4 linked regions of the Cricetulus griseus genome follow. The protein of the gene in region 1 interacts with the protein of each later gene in a biochemical or structural test. Links are inferred from orthologs where the notes say so. Each region holds a gene or a part of one and is shown in the gene's direction. Other genes may lie near its edges.

Region 1 (3,567 bases):
AATTTAGCAAAGATAAATGCCTGGAGGAGGCGTGTGTATGGTGTCCCCTACACATCCCTAGCAATGCCAATAGATAAAGTAAAAATATGTATGTTTTAATTTAACAGGAAATGACTCATTGCTTCATTTTTATTGCTTATTTGTGGTAGATGGGAAAGAAGAGTTGATGATCGTGGAAGAGTTTATTATGTGGATCATAACACCAGAACAACCACATGGCAGCGGCCTACCATGGAATCTGTTCGAAATTTTGAACAGTGGCAATCTCAGCGGAATCAATTGCAGGGAGCTATGCAACAATTCAACCAACGATACCTCTATTCGGTAATTAGCAATTTACAAGGTGTTAGAGGTGTTAATGTTACTTTTCCCTTACTTTGGTGGCTTTCTAAAATATGTAGAGTACATTCAATAGTTTGTTTGCTTCATTTTATTTTTGGCTAATCTTTAATATTACTTCTGGTTTGTCTAAATAAATAAGCATTCTTGAAATTTTTCTGTCTTTGGAATATTTTAGATTTTAGATTAGGATGTTCATCCTGTATATAGTACATTTGTTTTGTTCTGTGTAGGACTTCGTGTGCATTAAAGTTTGTAAACAGGACAAAATTAGGTATTGGGTATGTATCAAAATACTTTCTACTAAGTAGCACAGTCCTCTTAAATGGATGCAAATTAAGCTACTTCAATAGAATACCAGGGCTGGAACAAGAAAGAATCATTCTCTGGCTTACAGTGCCATCAAGCAGCTGAGTTCTGCCTTTTAGAGTATCATCTATTTCAGTGCATCTTGCCTGCTCTATTATCATGCCTCTTGCCTACACTAGCTATTGTTATGCACTTTATCTGCACCGTCTGTTGTCATGCAGCTTACCTACACCATCTATTGTCACCAACTGAACCAGCACCATCTCCTCATGCATTTTACTAGTACCATCTTTTACCATGCAGATTTCCTTTACCATCTATTGTCATGCACATTACCTTCACCATCTCTACCGGCTGTTGCCATGCATCTTTCCTGCACCCTCTATTGCCATGCATTTTGCCTGCTATTTTGAACATAAAGAGCTTCTACCCTTGGCCTGATTTCCAGAGTCTCTGCCATGAAAGGAAAGGGTAAACTGAAAGGGGAGAGGTTTCCTGTAGCAGGGCCCTTGTACTTAGCAAGCCCCTGCCTATTTGCTTAGCAGTTTAGCAAAGGAAACCCTCCTGCTTCTGCCTCATTGGCTAGAATTGGTCACTTTACTAATCCAGATTCAGTGGACTATTCCTTATGGGCACATTGTTACCTCAAACAAAGCTAGTGATTACATTATCAAGAAAGATAAGATAAAAATGGATATTTAGTGCTGTCTGGTGGCAGTCCTATCAAATATTCATCAAGATGTATACATATTACCATTGAATAATTATTTTGCAGAATAATTATACTATAATGATTTACCTATTTTTGAGCAAATAATATTGTCTCCTTTAAATGGCATAATCTCTATCTCTAATTACCCATCTCCTCTTACTCCTTAAAAAGGACTAGGAAATTAGCTTTTTGATTTTACTACACTATTTTTAAATGATTTACTAATAATTATATCAGCTGGTGGCTGCTCTTCATAATATTTTTGAACATTGTTTCTTGAAATTGTTGTATTCATATTCCTTTATAACATTTTTTAAAAATTCTAAGATATGATTGTTAATTGCTTAGTATATTAGTATACTTCTGGCTAAAACTGCTATCTTATATTGCAACCTCTTTTTCAACCAGGCTTCAATGTTAGCTGCAGAAAATGATCCATATGGACCTTTACCACCAGGATGGGGTAAGCTGATATGGTATTTATAAAAATATGTATAAGGTATATAGGTATCAAATTGTTATTGAATGTTATTCATACTTTATGTTTTAGAAAAAAGAGTGGATTCAACAGACAGAGTTTACTTTGTGAATCATAATACAAAAACAACCCAATGGGAAGACCCCAGAACTCAAGGGTATGTGTATAGTAAAGTCTTAAGTTATTACACATGAGAAGATGGATGGAGTCAGTGGGCTATAAGTACCTGAAACATACCCACCATATGATTGTGATTTTTTTGTCTTACAGCTTACCAAATGAAGAACCCCTGCCAGAAGGCTGGGAAATCAGGTATACTCGGGAAGGTGTTAGGTACTTTGTTGATCATAACACAAGAACAACAACATTCAAAGATCCTCGCAATGGGAAGTCATCTGTGTAAGTGGAAACCCAAACTTCAAAAATATTATGTAGTGAATACAGGAGGTCTAGTCTCTAATGCAGCTTCAAATTTAGAAACAAGCCATGTTCAAGAAAACATGCACAAGTAATATCTACCTATAACTGGTTTTGCTCTATATAATTCCAGAATGGATTTGTGGTATGGCATTTCTTTATTTAATAATATATATTTTGTATATAATAACATTAGCATATATGTGTGTGACAACTACTATATGCCAAAGATTGTTCTAACCATTTTAGACATGTTAGCTCATTTTTATCTTCCCATGACCTTTGAGAGAGAGATTATATTATTATTTTCTTGTTTGTTTTTTTTCTTTTAACAAGGCCCCTTTAAGAAGTTATTAGCCATTTATTTCCTTAAAACACACAATATGTAGTTTACTTTTCATTTTTATCTATTTCCTTCAATGGTACATTATATACAAAACAGCCACTCTTTCCCCATGTTTCTAGGGAGTAATGCTTTCATTGTCTAGAGAATGCCAGGTCCCTGTTAAGTATTTGATAAATTTTCTTGGGTGAATGAACTTCCATGACTGTGACAGCAGAAGACAGCATTTTGTGTTCACTCTACCATGAAAGTTCCTGAATTTCCGTGTATTTTTTGTTAAGACTCTCTCGGCAGGAGAAGCAGGTCTCATTCTCAGCTGACTCTTGTGTCTGCCTCTTTTCTCATTGTCCAGCTTGCTCCAAGAATTACTTATGCTTTGCTTTGTTTTTGTTCAGATCAGGTTTAAGATGAGGTCTAGGTTTTTTTTTTTTTCCTCCTGTTCCTCTTATCTAGAATCCTTGACTTCTTCAGCTTTAAGAATTATCAGAATTCTGCTTATAGTTTATCACACAAAAACAATAGTACAAAAAAAAAAAAAAAAGAATTATCCAACGTTCTTTTTAAGTAGTCTGTAGTAGACTTTAGGCCTTCTATAAACTAAGGGCTTCTCAATAGACCTGTTCCTACTTGGAGTCTCTCTCGTGCATATGTTCTGCTGATGGGACAATCTTCATGACTCAAGCCTCTATTGTCCTAATGAATACACCATTTATCGACTGTAAATAGCTTTCTTTAGTCATACTACAATCTGACGCACACTGTTTCATAATTATATTACAGTGTTATTTGTTATGCTTCTTTTTAGAACTAAAGGTGGTCCACAGATTGCTTACGAACGCAGCTTCAGGTGGAAGCTTGCTCACTTCCGTTACTTGTGCCAGGTACTACAGTGGTAAATAAATCTCATTTATAATAATTTAGTCTGATAGTTATGGAATACATATGCTGTGGCTTACATGCTGTGATATT
Region 2 (3,345 bases), on another chromosome or scaffold:
TTAGAGTTTTGTATAGGAAGATGCTTTATCTTAAATGGGATTGATTCTAACACAGCAAATTAAAATTGTATCCTAAATATTAAGCAGTTTGGGAACTTGAGGACTGGCAAATTTGGGAGAAATATTAGGAACCATACAAATTGCACTGTGGGATTATCAGCAGCAGATCCTGGTTTACTTAAAGAATGTATTAACTATCAAATGCAAAAATGTTTACATAAAGCAATGATGTTTTAAGTGTTTTCTGGTTTGGGAAATGTGTGTGCTAGTGTGAATATAAAGATGTGGAATGAGAAGACTAGTGTGTCAGCACTCTCCTGTAATCCAAGCACTTGGGAGGTGGAGAGGCAGAAACTTCAGGAGTTCAAGGTTATCCCCACCTAACCAATTTGAGACCTATTTGGGTTACATGAGACATGACTACAACAGAAACGGGATCCCCAGCCTATTGTGTCCTGGGCTCTATGCTGGGAACCTAGTTCAGATAAAACCAGGAGCAGGGTTAGGCCAAACAGTGATGGTATATGAGCTTCTTGGTGAAGGCCTGGTCTGAGCAGCTAGCTCCCTCACTGGCGTTAGCCATCATGCTTACAGTAATCAAGGTTTGATTATGGAGAATCCTTATTTGTAAGATAAGATGACATCATCCAAAGGCATATACCCACTTTAAGGATTTATTGGTTTAGGATTGCCCCATATAGGGGACACTCGGCCTTCTCTTGACCTTCATCTCAGTGTGTATCCCTAGCTGGCTTGAAACTTGCTATGTAGACCGAGCTGGCCTCGAGTAATGGGAAAGGTGCTGCGAGGTGACCCACACGAAGCCGATTCTCCAGCATTTGAAAGAGACTGTCCTTTTCTTGAGGATTACGGGTGACACCCATCCTCCAATGGAAGGACTCAGATACGCTGAGGCTGAGGAGCTCCCAGTGGGGTTCAGAGTGTGCTGTGGGCTCTGCCCTTGGTCTTGCAGCAGACTGTCACCTCACCTTGTGTCTCTTCTTGTCGCAGGTGAGAAGCCCTACAAGTGCAACTGGGAGGGCTGCGACTGGAGGTTTGCTCGGTCGGACGAGCTGACTCGCCACTACAGGAAGCACACGGGTGCCAAGCCGTTCCAGTGCGGGGTGTGCAACCGCAGCTTCTCCCGATCCGACCACCTGGCGCTGCACATGAAGCGCCACCAGAGCTGAGCCCTGCGCCGACCGCCCGACGCCTCGCAGTCCGCTCTGCCACCCTTTAAACCGCTGACCTAACTTCATATAAAAAAGAAAAAAAAAAAAGAGAACTGGAAATGTATATTTTGTATATTTGAGGCCACAGGGAATACATTGTATTAATACCAAAGTGTTTGGTTATTTTGAGAACCTGGAACTTGCTGTCATGCTCATCGCTGGCTCTTTTCCAGCACACTTCATCTCCAGACAGGCAGCGGCATCTCAGCGTGGGGAACCGGTGGGGGTGCACGGGGTGCGTATGCTGTTTCTATGCAGACTGCACACGCCATCATTTGTGACATTGTTTAGTATAAACAAACCAGTTGGCAGGCACCCGGACAGACTGTCAAGATTTTACTTGACGTGGACTTGTTTTTTTTTTTCTCTCAAGATTAGATTATTTCCATAGAGGAGGTACACAGTGTACCTGGCAATTCACAAATAGCCATTGAACAAATGTGTTTTGTTTTGTTTTTTATATGAGTTGCCTATATTTGCTATTACAAAATTTTGTAAATATGCAAATCAGCTTTATAGGTTTATTACAACTTTTTAAGGATTGCTTGGGGGAATCATACTTCTTTTGAAAATAACTATTAATACATATGAAGTTAGGATTTGTGGTTGATACCTCTCTAAAAAAGTTACCAAATCCATTTCTTTGGGGGAGGGAATAATCATTCAAATGAATAAAATGCAAATTTCACTCTCTGATTGAAATAAGATTGTTTATTTTAAATACGAAAGATTTTTTTATATGAATTTAAACTGAAGAGTTTAAAGATAGTTACAAGACACAGACATTAAAGGTCTTCTAAGTTAAACAGTATCACTTGTGAAAGACGGCTGTGGCTGTCACTTGTGTCCTCGTTGAATTTAAGACTCTGTTTGCACTTGTGGAAACGCTGAGTTTCTGGTGCAGTTTTCTTGGACTGGGGATGTTTGCTCATGCCATATTGTTGGCTAAATGACAATTTATGTGGATTTTTGCATGTAATAACCAGTGAGACACAGTAATTTTATTATTGAAATTACAGTGCAGTGTAGTTAATCTGTTAATGCTGACTCGGTGTCTGCCTTTAATATCAGTGACATGTTGAAAGCTTACCAATATGCAATATCATAGGAATGTGACTGACGCTGTTAACCAAAGGGCAGAAATCATAAGCAAAATGCCAAAAGCGGTCTTAATTAAAAATTTAATTTTTGTTTTTAAGATATTGTTTATCATTATTTATTTTGTGGTAATATAGTAAGTTTTTTTAGAAAACAATTTTCATAACTTGATAAATTATAGTTTTGTTTGTTAGAAAAGTTGCTTCAATGTGTAAATAGGTGACAGTGTAAATAGTTTTGTAAGAGGCTTCAAGATGTTTATACGTGGACACCTACTTCAAAAGCGTAAACCGGCTGCTGTTTGGCTTCTTTGTCCCTTATTTTTGTATTGTGGTCATTTCCTATGCAAATATCGGAGCAAACAGCTGTAAAGTTGTAGAATTTTTTGAGAGAATGAGATGTTTATATATTAACAACAATTTTTTTTTTGAAAATAAAAAGTGCCTAAAAGATTTACATGGTGCCTTCTTTCCCTTCTATAGCAGTTAATGAGCATAGTATGATCTAAAGGTCTGCTCAGGGAGGTTAATTAAAAGACTCTCAGGCAGACTTCGAGAAAGTACAGTGACCTGGATCCCAATTGGTTGCCTGCCTGGGATGTAGAAGTGCCTGTCTATAATCCCAGCCTCTGGGGTAGTGGAATTCAAGGACATTGTGGAATCTTGTCTGAAAAAAATAAAATAAAAACACATTGAATCATACTTCCTTTAAGACATAGAAGGATTTCTTTCAAGCACTAGGGAAATGTCTGGAGAGCTACAAAGATGACACCAGCTAACAGTCTAAGCAACAGAGGAGAGGCTACCTTAAATGCCCTCTCCTGATTATGAGATTGATGACTAACTTATATGCCATCCTATAGCCTTCATCCAGCAGCTGGTGGAAGTCGAAGCAGACACCCACAACTAATCACCGAACTGAACTGGAACCCAGATACAGAGAAGGATGAGTGAAGAGCACAGGGGTCCAGACCAGGCTGGTGAAACCCACAGGAATAGCTGACCTGAACATCGGG
Region 3 (4,337 bases), on another chromosome or scaffold:
CTAAGATAAAGAAGACCAATGTTCCTGACTTCTTTTATTGCCAGAAATGCAAGGAACTTCGGCCAGAGGCCCGGCGGTTAGGGGGTCTCCCCAAATCGGGAGAACCTTGACATCACTCTTGAGGCTGGAACTTGTGACTTTACTTGGGAACTGAGGCTCAGAGTCTTCAGCCTCTTCAAAGCAGGAATTCCCGAGGGAGACTTGTTTGGAATTGAGTGTCTTGTACGCTGTCCTTCCTGCTCCATGGACTTGAATTAGACCCATTACATCTGGGTCAGGGGAGGCTGGATCTGTAGACAAGTCTCTGTCCAGTCAACCTACCACCCTTTGACTTTCAGGGCCAGGGCTCAAACTGGGATGTAATGGGATAGTTGTCTATAAAATTGTAGTGTAAATACAGCACTCCCTCATGTTTTCTTCTCTCTCACTCCCATTTGCTTTCTTCTACACCGGTTGTTTTTAATTTTGGGCTCCCATGTTTGAGCAAAGTGGTTGCTCAAAGGCGGAGTACCATAGCTGGTGGAGTGGGGGAGAAAAGCAAAAAGGTGTCAATTATCACTAGCCTCATTTTTAATAATATTGGCTGGCTGCTTGTACAGACAGCCAGCGTGTTGTAAATAAAGCAGAGTGGGCTCTTGTGTTTTACAATCCTCGTTGTCCTATTTGGGGAGGGGACCTGGCAGATGTCTCGATGTAATTAGGGCTGAAACCGACTCTTATGATCCAGAGATATAATCCCACAATTTGGGAGGTGGAGACAATTTAGGGGCTAAGGCTGGCTTCCACTACATGAGACACTGAATCCCCCATCACCCTCTCTCACTCAAAAGTCAAATCTTGAAAGGTCTAGTTTTCAGCGTTCTCAAACCAGAAGTCGTCCTAGAGGTCCAAGTTGGTTTGCAGTTCTCGATTTACCAGTACCCTCCCACACCCCCATAGTTGCACCTGAGGTGCTTTGAGCTCTGGGCCTGGGATGGGTAAAACAGTGGGAGCCAGTTGCCAGCATTCTAAGAGTCAACGGGGTTGGCCATAGTACTTGGTGTGGGGCGGGGTACACGTTTGGGGGCGGAGTCTTCTAGGGCTGAAGACCGTTGCTCAAGGCAGCGATCACGTGAGTGTCTAGGCGGAGCTTCGCAGTCACGTGACACGAGCGGATCACGTGAGGGCAGTCGGCTGCGCAAAGTGGGCGGGCTTGTGTCACGTGGCATGGGGAGAGGTGGGCGGGGACCTCGATACTGTTCGCGACGTAGGTGGTGGTGTTGGACCTCGGCTGTGGGGTCCAGGGTTCTGGGTCTCGCTCCACGGCTCTAAGCTATCACCCTGCTGCTCCACGCCGTCCTCCTTGGGCGCGTCTCCCGCACTGGCCCTGCCCTGTCGGCGCTAGCACGTCAATTTGCGGGTGTGCGCAGGCGCGGCGGGGGCGCTTAGTCCTGTTGGGTGGGCGGCTGAGCCCGGGAGCGCGCGAGCGAGACCATGGCGGGCAGCAGCGCGGGGGGCGGTGGTGTAGGCGAGACGAAGGTGATTTACCATCTGGATGAGGAAGAGACTCCCTACCTGGTGAAGATTCCTGTCCCGGCGGAGCGCATCACCCTCGGCGATTTCAAGAGCGTTTTGCAGCGGCCCGCGGGCGCTAAGTACTTTTTCAAGTCTATGGATCAGGATTTTGGGTAAGCGTGAGGCCTAGACTGGGAAGGACGATGGATGTGCTGGAATGGATTGGGCGATTTTGAGGGGGACTGGACTGCCTTGGAATTTTTCTGGCCTGTTGTAGAACATAGCATATTGTACTATGCTAGAGTAGATCGCCCATCCCAAGACGGACAAGGTTGGACACACAGAGCTTGGGAAGAACGGGCTGGACTTCAGTAAACCAGAGGCAAGAAAATTAGGTTGGAATAATGGGGCACACTGGTTTGTTTGGCCATTCTCTCTACTTGATTTTAGCCACAAGGCTAAGAGGCGATGCTTGAGGATATTTTAGGCTGTGCTGAGATTAGATTCAACTATCTTTTGGTTGTCTGGTATGTTCTCAGACGTCTTCACAAGGATTGTATAGGAATATTCTGTAGGGTTATTTTGTTTGTTTGTTTGTTTGCTGGTTTTGATTTGGTCTTTTGTTTTGAGACAGGCCTTACTCTTTGTATCCTAGGCTGGCTCCGAACTCATGGAGTTCCTGCTTTCAGCCTTGAGAGCTGGAGTTAACAGGTGTGAGCCAATATGCTGGGCATGCAGTGTCATTATGTAGATTGAGCTATACTTAGACAATTTAGGCTATCCTGGCTTATTAATTAGGTCCCATAGTATTATTTTGAGATCTGAAATAATGCAGAGAGGTCTGTCGGGGATAGGTTGGACTGTTTTGAATAGATTTTTTTCTGGCAAAGTTTGCAACCTTCTGAACTCTACTGGGTTCTTTTTATTTTCTCTTAGGAGTAGATTCCCCTCCCCCTACGGGGGAAATTGGAGGTTTGTTTGTTTATTTTAAAGATATTTTATGTGTATGGGTGTTTTGCATGCGTGCATATTTGTGCACTACAAGCATGCAATGCCTCAGAAACCAGAAGATGGCTTGGGATCGCTTGGAACTGGAGTTATGTATATGTTATCCTCTATTTAGGTGCTGGGAATTGCACTCCAGTCCTTTGGAAGAGCAGCCAGTGCTCTTAACTGCTGAGCCAGGATTTCATCCTGTAACTAAAGCTACCTAGAGCTCACAATGTAGAACAGACTCACCTTGAATTTGTAGCAGCCCTGCCTCTATGTCTGCATCCTTCATGCTGAGGCTAGAGGTGTGTGACACTATACCTGGCCCAGACCTGGGTTTACTGTGTTACAAGATAGGAATAGGCTGGTGGAGTCCGTGCATATTGTATTGGGGTATTGCAATCAGTACTGGTGCAGACAGCTGCTTGTGTGGAGGCACTGGGGCTTTGCTAGATTAGATGGGGGTTGTTCTGGGGTAATTTGGGACATTCTGGGTGATCCTGGGCTGGAGTAGAACTCTTGAGTAAGGCAGCCTTTTGTTTTGTAGCTATTGAGACCGAGTCTTGTGTGTCCTCAGGCTCAAGGTCTGAAGATAGAGTGCATTGGATTCTGATGTTCTGAGTTGGCATAAGCAAGGATAGCAGGGTACTGGGGAGAAAAAGGTTATCTACCACCTGGGTTGGAGCAAGGCTCCTTACCTGTGGTTGGAGCACATTCCCCATTAGCTAGAACTGAACAAACTGGACTCTCACTGAAGATTTTTCGACATGGGCAGAGTGATACTATCTAGGGGGTTGTCTTGGATTTGAATCTTGGTTCTTCTTTTTGCATTATAATTTTAGGCAATCTATTTAACTTTTGTGCTTTGATTTCTTCATCTGTGGCATGATGATAATCATAGTGTAAAATACTTAATTTAGGTGCAAGCACATGGTAAATCTTGGTGGCTGGTAATTTTCATTTAGTATTGAGGCTAACTAGTTCATAGACTAGATTATAGTGATACAAAATTGCCTGCTTTGGAGGAGACTGGGCCACGCTGGGTTTGATGAGGTTGGGTTATGTTGGGAAGAGTTGTATACACTGAGCAGACCCCTGGTGACTGGGCTATGTTGTCTTGGCAGCTAATATATGAGGAATATACCTTCAAAATGTGGCATATACCCAAGGCCCCCAGAGCATATTAGGCTAGTGTTAATCAATCAAGAGGTTTTATTTTAATTTTTTCATTATTTTTATGTATATGAGTGTTTTGTCTGCATGTATGTATATCATGTGCATGCCTGGTGCCTGTGAACATTAGAAGAGACAGAGCCCAGAACTGGAGTTACAGATGGTTGTGAGCCACTATGTGGGTGCTGGAAACTAAACCTGGGGCCTTTTGGAAGAGCGATAAATGCTCTTAACCACAAGCCAACTCTCACTAAGCCAGCCCCCAGACAAGAAGTTCTAATTTGAAGGTGAGGGTGTTGTGTATGTGAAAGTAAGCCTCATGGCTCATATTTTGTCACCATGTATTTGCTAATGCTTACTAAGTATCAAGGCTGGTGCTGCACACCCAGGACACATGTTGAACAGAGTAGGTGCTAATGATTTCTTGTGGGTATTGAGAAGGAACAAGTTTAATCCGAGGCGGGAGCCTGTGGGAGGCTGGCCACCAAGGCTGGGCTTCAGGATGTTTCAGGCTGAGCAGATTGCTTAGTGAGATGAGGCAGCCAGGAAACGGGAAGCCTCTCATCCCCTCTCAGTGGGCGCTTTCCTGGTGTGGAGTGTTACTGTCACATTGAAGGGTGTTTTCACCTAGCAAAGGCCACACATTTGGATGTCTCTGGGTGTGAATTAGAACTGAAAGG
Region 4 (3,484 bases), on another chromosome or scaffold:
CTGAACTGAACCTGTTTTCATGTCCTCACTGTTCCTTCACTGTCCTTGCCCCTTCTCAGGTGGCTGGGAAGGCGCCGCTTCCTACAAGTTGACCTTCACAGCAGGGGGCGCCATTGAGTTTGGGCAGCGGATGCTCCAGGTGGCATCACAAGGTATCCCAGCTCTTAAAAACAAGAGGCCAGCACTCCTTGTTTCTTGTTTGTCCTTTTATTTTGTATTGTAAGCACTGGGAGGTGACTGTGGGCCCAGATGGCAGGGCTGGGAGTTGAGAAAGAAACCTGTAATTACCGTCTGTGGGTTTCCTCTGCCCATAACAAGCATGCAGCATTCTGACAGAAATGTTTGGACTGAAAAACAAACAATAAACCCAACTGTTAAACTACCACCCAGCAGCCATTGTAAATTCCCAAGCACTGTGCTCAGCATTCACTCCCTCATTCTACCCTCCCACCCCCCCAGGTTACCTTTCCATTTACTCCCTCTCCACTCTGTCCTGTTGCCCTCTGGCCTCTCCCTCCCCTCTCCTTCCCTCCCCTCCCCTCCCCTCCCTTCCCCTCCTCTCCTCTCCTCTCCCCTCCCCTCCCCTCCCCTCCCACACAGAGACCTAGGCAGACCCAGGTGGGCAGTGGGAGGCTGAATGGCATCTGTGGGCACTGTCCTGGACTCATCAGTCCCTGAGGCAGGCAACACTCATCTCTCTCTCCCCTTGTACTTATAGCCTCCAGAGGTGAAGCCCCTAATGGAGCCTATGGGTACCCTTACATGCCCAGTGGGGCCTATGTCTTTCCCCCGCCAGTCGCCAATGGAATGTACCCCTGCCCTCCTGGCTACCCCTATCCACCGCCCCCACCTGGTGAGTGTGTCCTTTGCTGCCCAGCCTCAGCCTCCCCACCCACCCACTAACCACACCTTCAGGTTGCAGAGGGGCAATGTGCCCTTTCACCTGCTTTAGACCTAACAGTGGAGAGCTCAGAGGGCACCCCAAGGAAATAGACAGACCACTCCCAGGATTAGCCTTCTGAGGGAGCCACGAGGGCGTGCTCACTGTCTCTGTCACTCTCTTTCCAAGCAGAGTTCTATCCAGGACCTCCCATGATGGATGGCGCCATGGGATATGTACAGCCCCCACCACCACCCTATCCTGGGCCTATGGAGCCTCCAGTCAGTGGCCCCAGTGCCCCCTCCACTCCTGCAGGTGAGCCCCTAGGCTGCTAGCAATTCTTGAGGACCAGCTTTCTCCTCCGGAAGGTCTTACAGACAACCCCACAAGATGGCTGGAGACTACTGATGAAGGGCCTCTGGCTTACAGACCACCCAGAGGAACCAACAGAGTGATAGCTCGGTGGTGAAGAGCTGTATTGCAAGGGCTGGGTTTGGTTTAGTGAGCCCTTGCCTGGCATGGGCTAGGCCTATGTTCTGTGTCCCCAGTGCCATAGAATATGAAACAACAGTCTGAAGGTGAGATGAGGTATAGATTCCAGCCTTGTTGGCCCTTGGCTACCAGTGACCTTGGACCCAGAAAGTCACCCTGTATGCCTCAGTGTCTCATCTACAGATGGTCACCAGGACCGCCCGATAGACCTATGTCAAGGGCATGTAAAGGGACTGTAAAGACAGTGCCAGCACGTGGCAGGTGCTTAGGAAAGTCACTGAAGCTTTTGGTGGCCTGAGTCGCCAGCACCAGCTGCCCTGAACTCAGGTGGGTGGAGGAGGGGGGCTTGTCACTCATTGCCATCCAGCCATGTGTTTCCTTTTACAGCTGAGGCCAAGGCCGCAGAAGCAGCTGCCAGCGCCTATTACAACCCCGGCAACCCACACAATGTCTACATGCCCACGGTAAGTGGGGCAAACCTGCTTGCCCGCCCTCTCAGTCACACAGCCTGGGAGCCAGTGGTGAAAGAGAGACACTGCTCATTCTGTGATGTCTCACATGATCTGTGTTTTCTTCCTCTAGAGCCAGCCTCCGCCGCCACCCTACTACCCCCCAGAAGACAAGAAGACCCAGTAGACCTTGCCCACCTCCCTGCCTCTCACTGGACGACCCCTCCCTTCCTGGGCCTCCCACGGAGCTGCATCTGAGATTCTGGGAGGCCAGGGAGGGCCTGTTCTTCCCCAGGCCTGATTATAAACAGTTACCAGGAACTAGCCCTGATGGAAGGGCGGGGCTCCTGGCCTCTGAGAGGCGCCTCCCAGCTTCCCACACTAGCTCAACCCATGGCACTGCTCTGTCTAGCTTCCCTCTCACCATCTCTGGGGCTATTGGGAGCTTGGGATTGCCCCTTGTTCCTCACTGTAGTAGCTCCTGCCCACAGAGGGACTCTCTGGCCACTCCTCCACCACAGTCCAGCCCCTCAGCCTGATGACCATCCTACGCCATCTTCTGGGCTCATCAGACCCGCCTTGTGTCTCTCCTACAGGCCCTGCCAGGTCCTGCTCACATTCCTTCCTCCTGGGGTGTGCCTGACCCCGGAAAGCCACTGTCCCCACAGATGGTCAGTCCACATTCCCTTCAGTCAGGCCCTGGCCTCAGTCACACTCCACACTTGTCCTTGTTCCCTCATTGCCTCTGGCTTTGGGAATTTTACCCTGAACTTCCAGTGGTTGGTGGCATCAGAAGCAAAGCCTCTGTAGCTGGGAGAAGCCCCTCTGGTAGTGTCCCCTCCTCTTCCCCTTTACACAAGGGGCTTTTCTGCAGGAGCAGTAGAGAGTGCATGTCTGTCCAATCATGACTTAGGTCTGGGAACGAGCACCTCCAACCATGTGACCTGAAACTTGCCATCTGCCCCTGTGTGAGCTTCACGCCCGCCCCCTGGATGCACTAAGATTTGCTCTTGTTTGGTCCTGGTCTGGACGCAAAACAAGGAGATGGTTATTTAAAGAGAAATCCCTATTTATTTGACACACAAAAAATCCAGTTAATATATTAATGTGAAATAAACCCAGTTTGCACCTTGATTTGTTTGCTACAACTGTGAAACAGTAAATGAAGTAACTGGACTCTCTGACTCTGTGTGGTGAGAAGGGTGAGATCTTATGGGAGGAGGAGCTATTGACAGCTGGGAGGTGGGGCAAAGGAGCCCGTTTCCTGTCAGTGAGTCTCAGGGTGCACTTGGTTCCCAGCCTTCCTACAGAGGCCTCTACCTGCCCGGGGTTGGTGCATGGTGCCACCCACTGCCAGCTGGGGACAGGACAAGGCCTGTATCCCATCTGCAACTCGCCTACTGAGCACAGGCTGGAAGCAGCTTTGTCACCCGGGTATGGCAGGACTCCCGTGAGGGGAGTGTGACTTCATGCCACCTGACCTAGGGCAAGAAGGTAGAATAAAGCTAAAGCCACTACCAGCTAAAGGCCTGCTCTCCACTCACAGTCAAAGGGCTGTGGGAGACCCCAGCACCGAAGTCCTCTCCTGACCAAAATGCTCCCACAGAGAGACGCAGCAAGGCCTTGCCGCCACCTCTTTCTTCGGCCACCCACCCCTAGGGGC

The links.
Region 2: of the proteins of Wwp1 (region 1) and Klf5, one has a biochemical effect on the other in vitro, tested with the Homo sapiens proteins (4 studies listed by BioGRID, with this or other methods). The link is inferred for Cricetulus griseus from reciprocal best matches to the Homo sapiens genes WWP1 and KLF5.
Region 3: the proteins of Wwp1 (region 1) and Dvl2 form a complex in vitro, tested with the Homo sapiens proteins (2 studies listed by BioGRID, with this or other methods). The link is inferred for Cricetulus griseus from reciprocal best matches to the Homo sapiens genes WWP1 and DVL2.
Region 4: of the proteins of Wwp1 (region 1) and Wbp2, one has a biochemical effect on the other in vitro, tested with the Homo sapiens proteins (2 studies listed by BioGRID, with this or other methods). The link is inferred for Cricetulus griseus from reciprocal best matches to the Homo sapiens genes WWP1 and WBP2.

What each region holds. Positions count from the first base shown.
Region 1 is NC_048595.1:132,927,927-132,931,493, reverse strand, and holds part of Wwp1 (NEDD4-like E3 ubiquitin-protein ligase WWP1), read left to right. Parts: intron 1-149; coding exon 150-324; intron 325-1,768; coding exon 1,769-1,823; intron 1,824-1,910; coding exon 1,911-1,995; intron 1,996-2,108; coding exon 2,109-2,237; intron 2,238-3,403; coding exon 3,404-3,479; intron 3,480-3,567. UniProt on the Homo sapiens protein: E3 ubiquitin-protein ligase which accepts ubiquitin from an E2 ubiquitin-conjugating enzyme in the form of a thioester and then directly transfers the ubiquitin to targeted substrates.
Region 2 is NW_023276807.1:251,145,148-251,148,492, forward strand, and holds the end of Klf5 (Krueppel-like factor 5), read left to right. Parts: intron 1-1,011; coding exon 1,012-1,190; 3' UTR 1,191-2,786; downstream 2,787-3,345. UniProt on the Homo sapiens protein: Transcription factor that binds to GC box promoter elements. Activates the transcription of these genes.
Region 3 is NC_048600.1:83,846,538-83,850,874, forward strand, and holds the start of Dvl2 (segment polarity protein dishevelled homolog DVL-2), read left to right. Parts: upstream 1-1,473; coding exon 1,474-1,667; intron 1,668-4,337. Other genes in the region: Phf23 (PHD finger protein 23), read left to right, coding at 1-110.
Region 4 is NC_048600.1:128,663,209-128,666,692, reverse strand, and holds the end of Wbp2 (WW domain-binding protein 2), read left to right. Parts: intron 1-59; coding exon 60-152; intron 153-718; coding exon 719-853; intron 854-1,072; coding exon 1,073-1,195; intron 1,196-1,759; coding exon 1,760-1,836; intron 1,837-1,954; coding exon 1,955-2,008; 3' UTR 2,009-2,955; downstream 2,956-3,484. UniProt on the Homo sapiens protein: Acts as a transcriptional coactivator of estrogen and progesterone receptors (ESR1 and PGR) upon hormone activation. In presence of estrogen, binds to ESR1-responsive promoters. Synergizes with YAP1 to enhance PGR activity.